Linked DNA regions of Arabidopsis thaliana. The protein of the gene in region 1 interacts with the protein of each later gene in a pairwise test. Each region holds a gene or a part of one and is shown on either strand. Other genes may lie near its edges. The genes, in order: HSFA6A and VOZ1.

Evidence for each region.
Region 2: the proteins of HSFA6A (region 1) and VOZ1 interact in a two-hybrid assay, tested with the Arabidopsis thaliana proteins (one study listed by BioGRID).

The regions. Positions count from the first base shown.
Region 1 is NC_003076.8:17,624,791-17,628,718, reverse strand, and holds HSFA6A (heat shock transcription factor A6A), read left to right. Parts: upstream 1-2,231; 5' UTR 2,232-2,354; coding exon 2,355-2,588; intron 2,589-2,667; coding exon 2,668-3,282; 3' UTR 3,283-3,366; downstream 3,367-3,928. Other genes in the region: ARD4 (RmlC-like cupins superfamily protein), read left to right, coding at 138-232, 852-1,091, 1,227-1,355. UniProt on the Arabidopsis thaliana protein: Transcriptional activator that specifically binds DNA sequence 5'-AGAAnnTTCT-3' known as heat shock promoter elements (HSE).
Region 2 is NC_003070.9:10,027,324-10,031,251, forward strand, and holds the start of VOZ1 (vascular plant one zinc finger protein), read left to right. Parts: upstream 1-1,759; 5' UTR 1,760-1,944; exon of another isoform or gene 1,945-2,350; 5' UTR 2,351-2,389; coding exon 2,390-2,620; intron 2,621-2,740; coding exon 2,741-2,890; intron 2,891-2,987; coding exon 2,988-3,504; intron 3,505-3,593; coding exon 3,594-3,928. UniProt on the Arabidopsis thaliana protein: Transcriptional activator acting positively in the phytochrome B signaling pathway. Functions redundantly with VOZ2 to promote flowering downstream of phytochrome B (phyB). Down-regulates 'FLOWERING LOCUS C' (FLC) and up-regulates 'FLOWERING LOCUS T' (FT).

The DNA.
Region 1 (3,928 bases):
TTGAGTAGTGATTCTACATGAGGAAACTAAACGTAAACCGTCTTAAAACTAAGGAAATGGTCAAATTTACCCAAGATGAGATTTAACAGAATCATAAATTATGCAAATATCACAAATATAGTTGTTGTGTTTTGTAGAGTTGGGAGTGTTGTACTGGAAGTTGAACCCTGAGAACTACGAGAATGATTCTGAACTTAGCAAGATTAGAGAAGACAGGGGTTACGATTACATGGTACGCATATTATCTCTTCCTGATCACTGTTTTTTCTTAACTTAGGAACACTCATGCTCATCATAAATGCCAATTGAATGTCTCTGTTTTTTAACTTGTTGCATATCGTTGCATGTTGATCTCATGAGATTAACGATTGTGACATATACTAGACACAGTAGGAGTGTAGGACTACATAATGAAGGTAGTACTCAAACCTTACAAAACCAGCCTATGAAGAAAGAAGCCTTATGAGTATTAGAGTACAGGATTTGCTACGGCTTATGTCTTTCTGATCACCCTTTTTTAACTCATGCTCACCATAAGCGGCTATTGATGTTTCAGTTCCTTTACTTGTTATCTCTGCACGCTAATCTCATGAAAAAAAAAAACATGTATCATAGGACAGTAGGACTATAATCTTGCATAACCATTAAGGGGTAGTATGACTACAAACATTTTAGAAACCAGCTTATTAAGGAAGAAGGCTTCTCTGTAATTGAGTATTAAGGGAACATTAAAACGTTTGGTTTACGTTAAAAATAATTAAGCTATTTGTGTGGTGTGTAGCATTGTAACTTATGAGCTATAAACTAATTTTCTCAAGCAGAATGATTACTTTGGTTAATCTTCATTTTAGGATTTGCTGGATCTGTGTCCCGAGAAAGTCAGCAACTACGAAGAAAAGCTGAAGAACTTTTTCACAGAACACATTCACAAGGACGAAGAGATTCGGTACTGCCTAGCAGGAAGTGGCTACTTTGATGTTAGGGACAAGGATGATCGTTGGATCCGTATCTGGATGCAACCTGGCGATCTCATTGTCCTTCCTGCCGGAATCTACCACCGGTTCACACTCGACGCCAGCAACTACATCAAGGTACAAAAAGCCAAACTCAGTCTCTATACTAATTTACTAATTTATATGAATACGCAAATGAAATATTACATCTTAATATCTTATGTTAAAAGATTTGATTGTTGGTTTGTGATGTATGGTGGTTTGGTTTTGCAGCTAATGAGGCTGTTCGTGGGGGAACCGGTTTGGACACCATATAACCGGCCACAGGAAGAACATCCTGTTAGGAAAAAGTATATCCACGGCTTAACCTACAAGTTTGGAGAAACCGTTAAAGCACATTAACAATATTAATATATGCTTGTTGTGTAATTTGTATGTATTGTTTACTCTTTAGTCTTAAGCAGTAAAATAAAAACAGCGGCTCCTTCTGGATAGTTGTTCTTGTAACATACTTTTGCGATGTATGCTTTTATACATAAAAAAAATAGTGTGTATTTATCTAATAAGTATCATTAAAAAACAAATGTCAGCTGCGAACGTGAAATTTATAACTAAAAAAACCCTACGATTTTCGAATAAATTATTTGAGCTTTCCAAACTGTAATTCAAGTATTATTACTTATATAGTGTTAGTGTACTTCAAAAGTTAAAGCATAAATTTTCTTATATTTGAAATGACCTCTTCTTTACAAAATCTTCTTAAAATTATGCATTATCAATATATTAATTGTATATATATATATAATGTATAATTCTGCTTGTGTCGTGCTTAACCGTTTGATTTGGTGTGGTTAGATCTGGTTTTCCCCCAACCCAATTCAATTGAATCAAGGATCAATCAAATTTTCAAAGGATACTCTTGTTCTCTACACAAATCTTTCAAAGGGTTCCACCAAAAATCCCATCATTCTGACTTCAGAATAAACAAACAAACCACGAAACGTATCTCTATGCATTCACTACAACGTGTCATGGGCGAAAACGAAGCTTATAAATGTTGGAGCATAGTCACTAAATTTATAATGATTAATTAAATTTTAGATTTTCTGATATTCATAGAAGACAAAAGAACACAAAAGTAGCATCTTCCAATGAATGTATGACACTATGATCTCTCATTTCCATTTATAGCAAATCGGCTTTGTCCACATCAAAGATAACTAATAAATAGACTTATCCAAAACACTCAAAAGCAATACATTTCTATCCAAAAATATTAAACCCCAAAAATATAGACAGCATAAAAGCATCCTCAAGCTTCAGCTATTCATCACAACTATTCTCTCCTCTCTCTTTTTTTATTAAAAAAGCTCAAATTTATATAGGTTTTTTGTTCACAAAATGGATTATAACCTTCCAATTCCATTAGAGGGTCTCAAAGAAACGCCACCAACGGCTTTCTTGACGAAAACATACAACATAGTGGAGGATTCAAGCACAAACAACATAGTTTCATGGAGCAGAGACAACAACAGCTTCATTGTTTGGGAACCAGAGACTTTTGCCCTAATTTGCCTCCCTAGATGCTTTAAGCACAATAATTTCTCCAGCTTTGTTAGACAGCTCAATACTTATGTACGTAACTACTTTTGAGTTTTTGTCTTGGTTATTTTGATCTTCATTAAAAATTAAATCTTTGTTTAATGATCTGTAGGGGTTTAAGAAGATTGATACAGAGAGATGGGAATTTGCAAATGAGCATTTTCTGAAGGGAGAGAGGCATCTTCTTAAGAACATCAAGAGAAGAAAGACATCATCTCAAACGCAAACGCAGTCGCTAGAAGGAGAGATCCATGAGCTGCGAAGAGACAGAATGGCTTTAGAAGTAGAACTGGTTAGACTGCGACGAAAACAAGAAAGCGTGAAGACATATCTGCATTTGATGGAAGAGAAACTGAAAGTCACAGAAGTAAAGCAAGAAATGATGATGAATTTCTTGCTAAAGAAGATTAAGAAACCGAGTTTTTTACAGAGCTTAAGGAAACGTAATCTGCAAGGAATCAAGAATCGAGAGCAAAAGCAAGAGGTGATCTCAAGCCATGGTGTTGAGGATAATGGAAAGTTTGTTAAAGCTGAGCCAGAAGAGTATGGTGATGACATCGATGATCAATGTGGAGGTGTGTTTGATTATGGTGATGAGCTTCACATAGCTTCAATGGAGCATCAAGGACAAGGGGAGGATGAAATTGAAATGGATAGTGAAGGAATTTGGAAGGGTTTCGTGTTGAGTGAGGAGGAGATGTGTGATTTAGTGGAACATTTTATATAATAAACTAATGTATTATGAGAGGTTTTTTTTTGTTTTTTTGCTTTTTTTTTCCGAGTTTGTCATCAAGCATTGTATACAATTTGGGCCAAACTAAAAGCCCAACAAAATATTTGGCCTTGGCATTTGTTAACAAATTGACTAATTCGGCCACACCTTCCACTCCATTGATTGTTCAAAGACGTCTATCAACATTTTATTTCTCCTGAGCACTAACTATAAAGTATTTACATTTTTACACAAATTTTATTGCTGTCAATTTTAAAAAGTAGCTAAAATACGATACAATTATTTTAATTTAAGTCAGTTATACGTTTCGATCGAAGCGCGTGACGAATCGAACCGTTGGATTGACCTTTTATTTAAGAGATATTGCCTTTTATGATCACCCATGTGGCTTTCCTCGATTTAATTTTATTTTTAATTATTAATAATCGAGTGCACGTACTCGCCACGTCATTTTCATGACTTTATTTTTATAAATCTTATCCTCATTTGTACCATTAGATTCTTCCCTCAAATAAAGCCTTTTTTATACGTTACTACTAAATAAATTAATTCCTCCATCTTAGGAAAATTTTCTCTAATTAAGCGACAACTTTCTAATAAATACTGCATTATCAAACGCACCTAATATTACACAAACGAT
Region 2 (3,928 bases), on another chromosome or scaffold:
TCACCTTGGAGACCTTAAAGAAAAGAAAAAGAAGGAAAAAAACTTCTCCACTGTCACTAATTTGGTCCGGATCAAAGATAAAGTGTAGTGGTGGACCGATCTATATTCCAACCAGGGATATATAAGATGTAAGGTGCATACTCAAAGAAAATATTGTCAATAATTGGCTGTTTAACTGTGATTAATATATAATCGTACTCAGTCAAGAATTGGTTGTTTAAAATTAGTGGAGATATTATTTCTTATAACCTAGTTAAAAGTTGAATTTGAATATTTTTTTAGAGTTCATACGACGAACATTATGTATTTGAAATGAGAATAATAAGCAATAATAGATAAAGAACGATAGAATATGACCATTGAAGAAATTGAAAGTAGATGGTATGATGAAAATTGATGAGCATCACAAGATAGGAATATGGAAAACATAGTGGAGAAAAGCTAAGTTATATTCCTTCCTTGCCAATATCTCCTTCTTTTACACCTTCTTGTATCTTAAAAGAAAATAATAATAACTTAGTATTCACGACACTTGTCCAAATTCTTTACCCAAGATTCCTTTGTTATGCTTGTTTGTTTTTTCCTCCAAAAGTAATGCAAATTTACATTAGGTACAAACAATCTCATTGTTAAAACTCATTGAAAGGATATAAGAAAACAAATGGGTCCAAATTATTTTAAGAAATGACCAATTGTCAAGCGCAACCAAAATTACGGTTATCAATCTAATTGACTTATCTTGAAAATATAATACGTTACATTTCCAATATTCCTTTTTTATTATCAAATTACGTTACATGTAGTCGTAGACTTGAGCACTAATTAGCCGTTGAATCAAAATCTTTAACGTGGTTCTACTACGATGCTATCATAAAGTCTATGTCAATTTATCAACAAAATATACATTCTCGAAAGAAATGTTATCATGAATCGTTTTTTAGTTTTTTTTTCCTACGACTACAAGTACAGCTACGCAAAGTTGCAAACCACTCCCCTCCATACACATTAACTTGGACTAAACCCGATGATCATACAATGTCACAAATTTTAGCGTTACTACATTAGTCTTAACATTTTCTAATATTTGCAAATGTTCCATCCCTAAAATGGATGGTAGTTTTAATTTCAAAGCCTTTTTTTACACTTTTTTGTTTGGTATTTGTTTTAATTTTCTCGTATGTATAAAATTTGCTTAGCTTTAGCCTATCTTGAATTCTATCATCGCATATTCGCATGGTTATATTATATCTTACAAATCGTGTGACCCAAACTCTGATTTTGGAAAAATTCTTGGCGACTTCCCTAATGTATTACATAGTCTAAAGAAAAACTTAAATTTCTAACTCAAATAGTATTTAAATTTCCTCAAATAAGGAGCAAGTAGTGTATGGAGCCAATAGCATTGAAGAAAATGCCTAATTTTCTAAAGCATATGTGCAACAAAAAAAAAAAAAAAACATAATTGAACTCTGGTTAGTTTAGAAAACAAAACAAAAAAAAAAGATTATTTACACAACAAATAGTAAATTTTAAATGCTCATTTAATATTTCTTAATATAAATAAATGCTATAAAGAGAAAAAATGAACAATAAAAAGAAAAGAATCCATAATAAACAGTCCAAATGGCATTTTTTTCCAAAATAATCATTAAATTCCTTAAACATTTCCCCACAATTTGATAATTTTTAAATTTTTATATTTTCTCATAAATTAGTACATTGAATTTAGCTCATAAAAAAGGAAAAAGAAAAGTGGAGGGTGAAGAGAAGAAGAGAATCCAGCAACGTTTCTTTATTTCCTTTGTGTTTTTTTTTCTTCATAATCTCTCTCTTTTTATTTATTCATAATTTTTACTCTCTCCATTTCTTCATTACTCTTCTTTTTATTTTCCGGAGATTTTTCTCTTTGCCTTTGTTATTTGCTGCTTTTGCTGCAGCTACAGTGTAAGTTTGATTTTCTGGGTTCCTTCAAACTCCAAAATCTCGCGTCGCTTTTTGCTTCAGAATCGATTTGTTCTTGTTACTTCGATCTGTTGTTCTTTTTAACTCTGTGCATGATTCAATTTCGTGTTCGTAACCTGTTTTTTGCTGCTTGTTTAGTTCGACAATTAGGTAAAAAAATGACGATCCCTAAAACTTATGATCCTTTTAATCTTCGTTTAGCTACTTCGTTCGAGATCATCTAGGGCTTTTGTTGCTTCATCGATTTTGGGTTTTGATTTACTGTAAATGTTTTGGTTTTGTTTATGTAATCTAAGCATGTACCAATGATTCATGAGTGATCATGTTTGTTATAGGAGCAGAACTGATGTGAAGTGTGTATTTTGAATGTGTTTTTGGTTTTGTACAGAGAATCTTGTGTTTTTGTGGTGGGGAGGTGAGATTTCTTATGACGGGGAAGCGATCAAAGACTAATTGCAGATCTGCTTCTCACAAGCTCTTCAAGGATAAGGCTAAGAACCGTGTTGATGATTTGCAAGGCATGCTTTTGGATCTTCAGTTTGCGAGGAAAGAGAGTAGGCCTACTGATGTTACTCTTCTTGAGGAGCAAGTGAATCAGATGCTTCGTGAGTGGAAATCTGAGCTCAATGAGCCTTCTCCAGCTTCATCCTTGCAACAAGTATGCTTTCGTTTGTTTCAAATTTGCAATCTTGTTGTTTCTTCTGACTTGCATGGGTGATTTAGTTTTCTTTGTTGTTTCAGTCATTGTTAGCTGTGTCATTTTGTTTTGCTTAAGCAGGGTGGTACTCTGGGGTCTTTCTCATCAGATATTTGTCGGCTGCTGCAGCTCTGTGATGAGGAAGATGATGCTACCAGCAAATTAGCTGCCCCCAAGCCCGAGCCTGCTGATCAGAATCTCGAAGCTGGCAAAGCTGCTGTCTTCCAAAGGGTGAGTTGCTCTTTAGAACCAGTTTTTAATGGTGCTTTAGTTGTGTTTGGAGTCCATTATTTTGTTTAAATACTGAGATCGTGGTGAAAGTTTTCAGGGATACAATTTGGTTCAGGGGAAGTCAGAACATGGATTACCATTGGTTGATAATTGCAAAGATTTGTCCTTAGCAGCTGGTAACAATTTCGATGGAACGGCTCCTTTGGAGTATCATCAGCAGTATGATCTGCAACAAGAGTTTGAACCAAACTTCAATGGTGGTTTCAACAATTGTCCCAGTTATGGTGTAGTAGAGGGTCCTATACATATCTCTAATTTTATCCCGACTATTTGTCCTCCACCCTCTGCATTCTTGGGTCCAAAATGTGCTCTTTGGGATTGCCCTAGGCCAGCTCAGGGATTTGATTGGTTCCAGGATTACTGCAGCAGCTTCCACGCTGCACTGGCTTTCAATGAAGGGCCACCAGGTATGAATCCGGTGGTGCGTCCTGGAGGTATCGGCCTAAAAGACGGTCTGCTTTTTGCTGCTCTTAGTGCAAAGGCTGGAGGGAAAGATGTTGGTATTCCCGAATGTGAAGGAGCTGCAACTGCTAAATCTCCATGGAATGCTCCAGGTAGGCTTTACTCTCTTGGAATTCATTCACAAGTATGTTAATTGATCACCATTCTTGAGCTGATCATACTCAAATCTTGATGACTGTAGAGCTCTTTGATCTCACGGTTCTGGAGAGTGAGACACTAAGGGAGTGGCTATTCTTTGACAAGCCAAGGAGGGCCTTTGAGAGCGGGAACAGAAAGCAAAGATCTTTACCAGACTACAATGGTCGTGGTTGGCACGAGTCACGTAAACAGATCATGGTCGAGTTTGGAGGGCTGAAGAGATCTTACTACATGGATCCACAGCCTCTGCACCATTTCGAATGGCATCTTTACGAATATGAGATCAACAAGTGTGATGCTTGTGCCTTGTACAGGCTCGAGCTCAAGCTTGTTGACGGGAAGAAGACTTCAAAAGGCAAAGTCTCAAACGACTCAGTG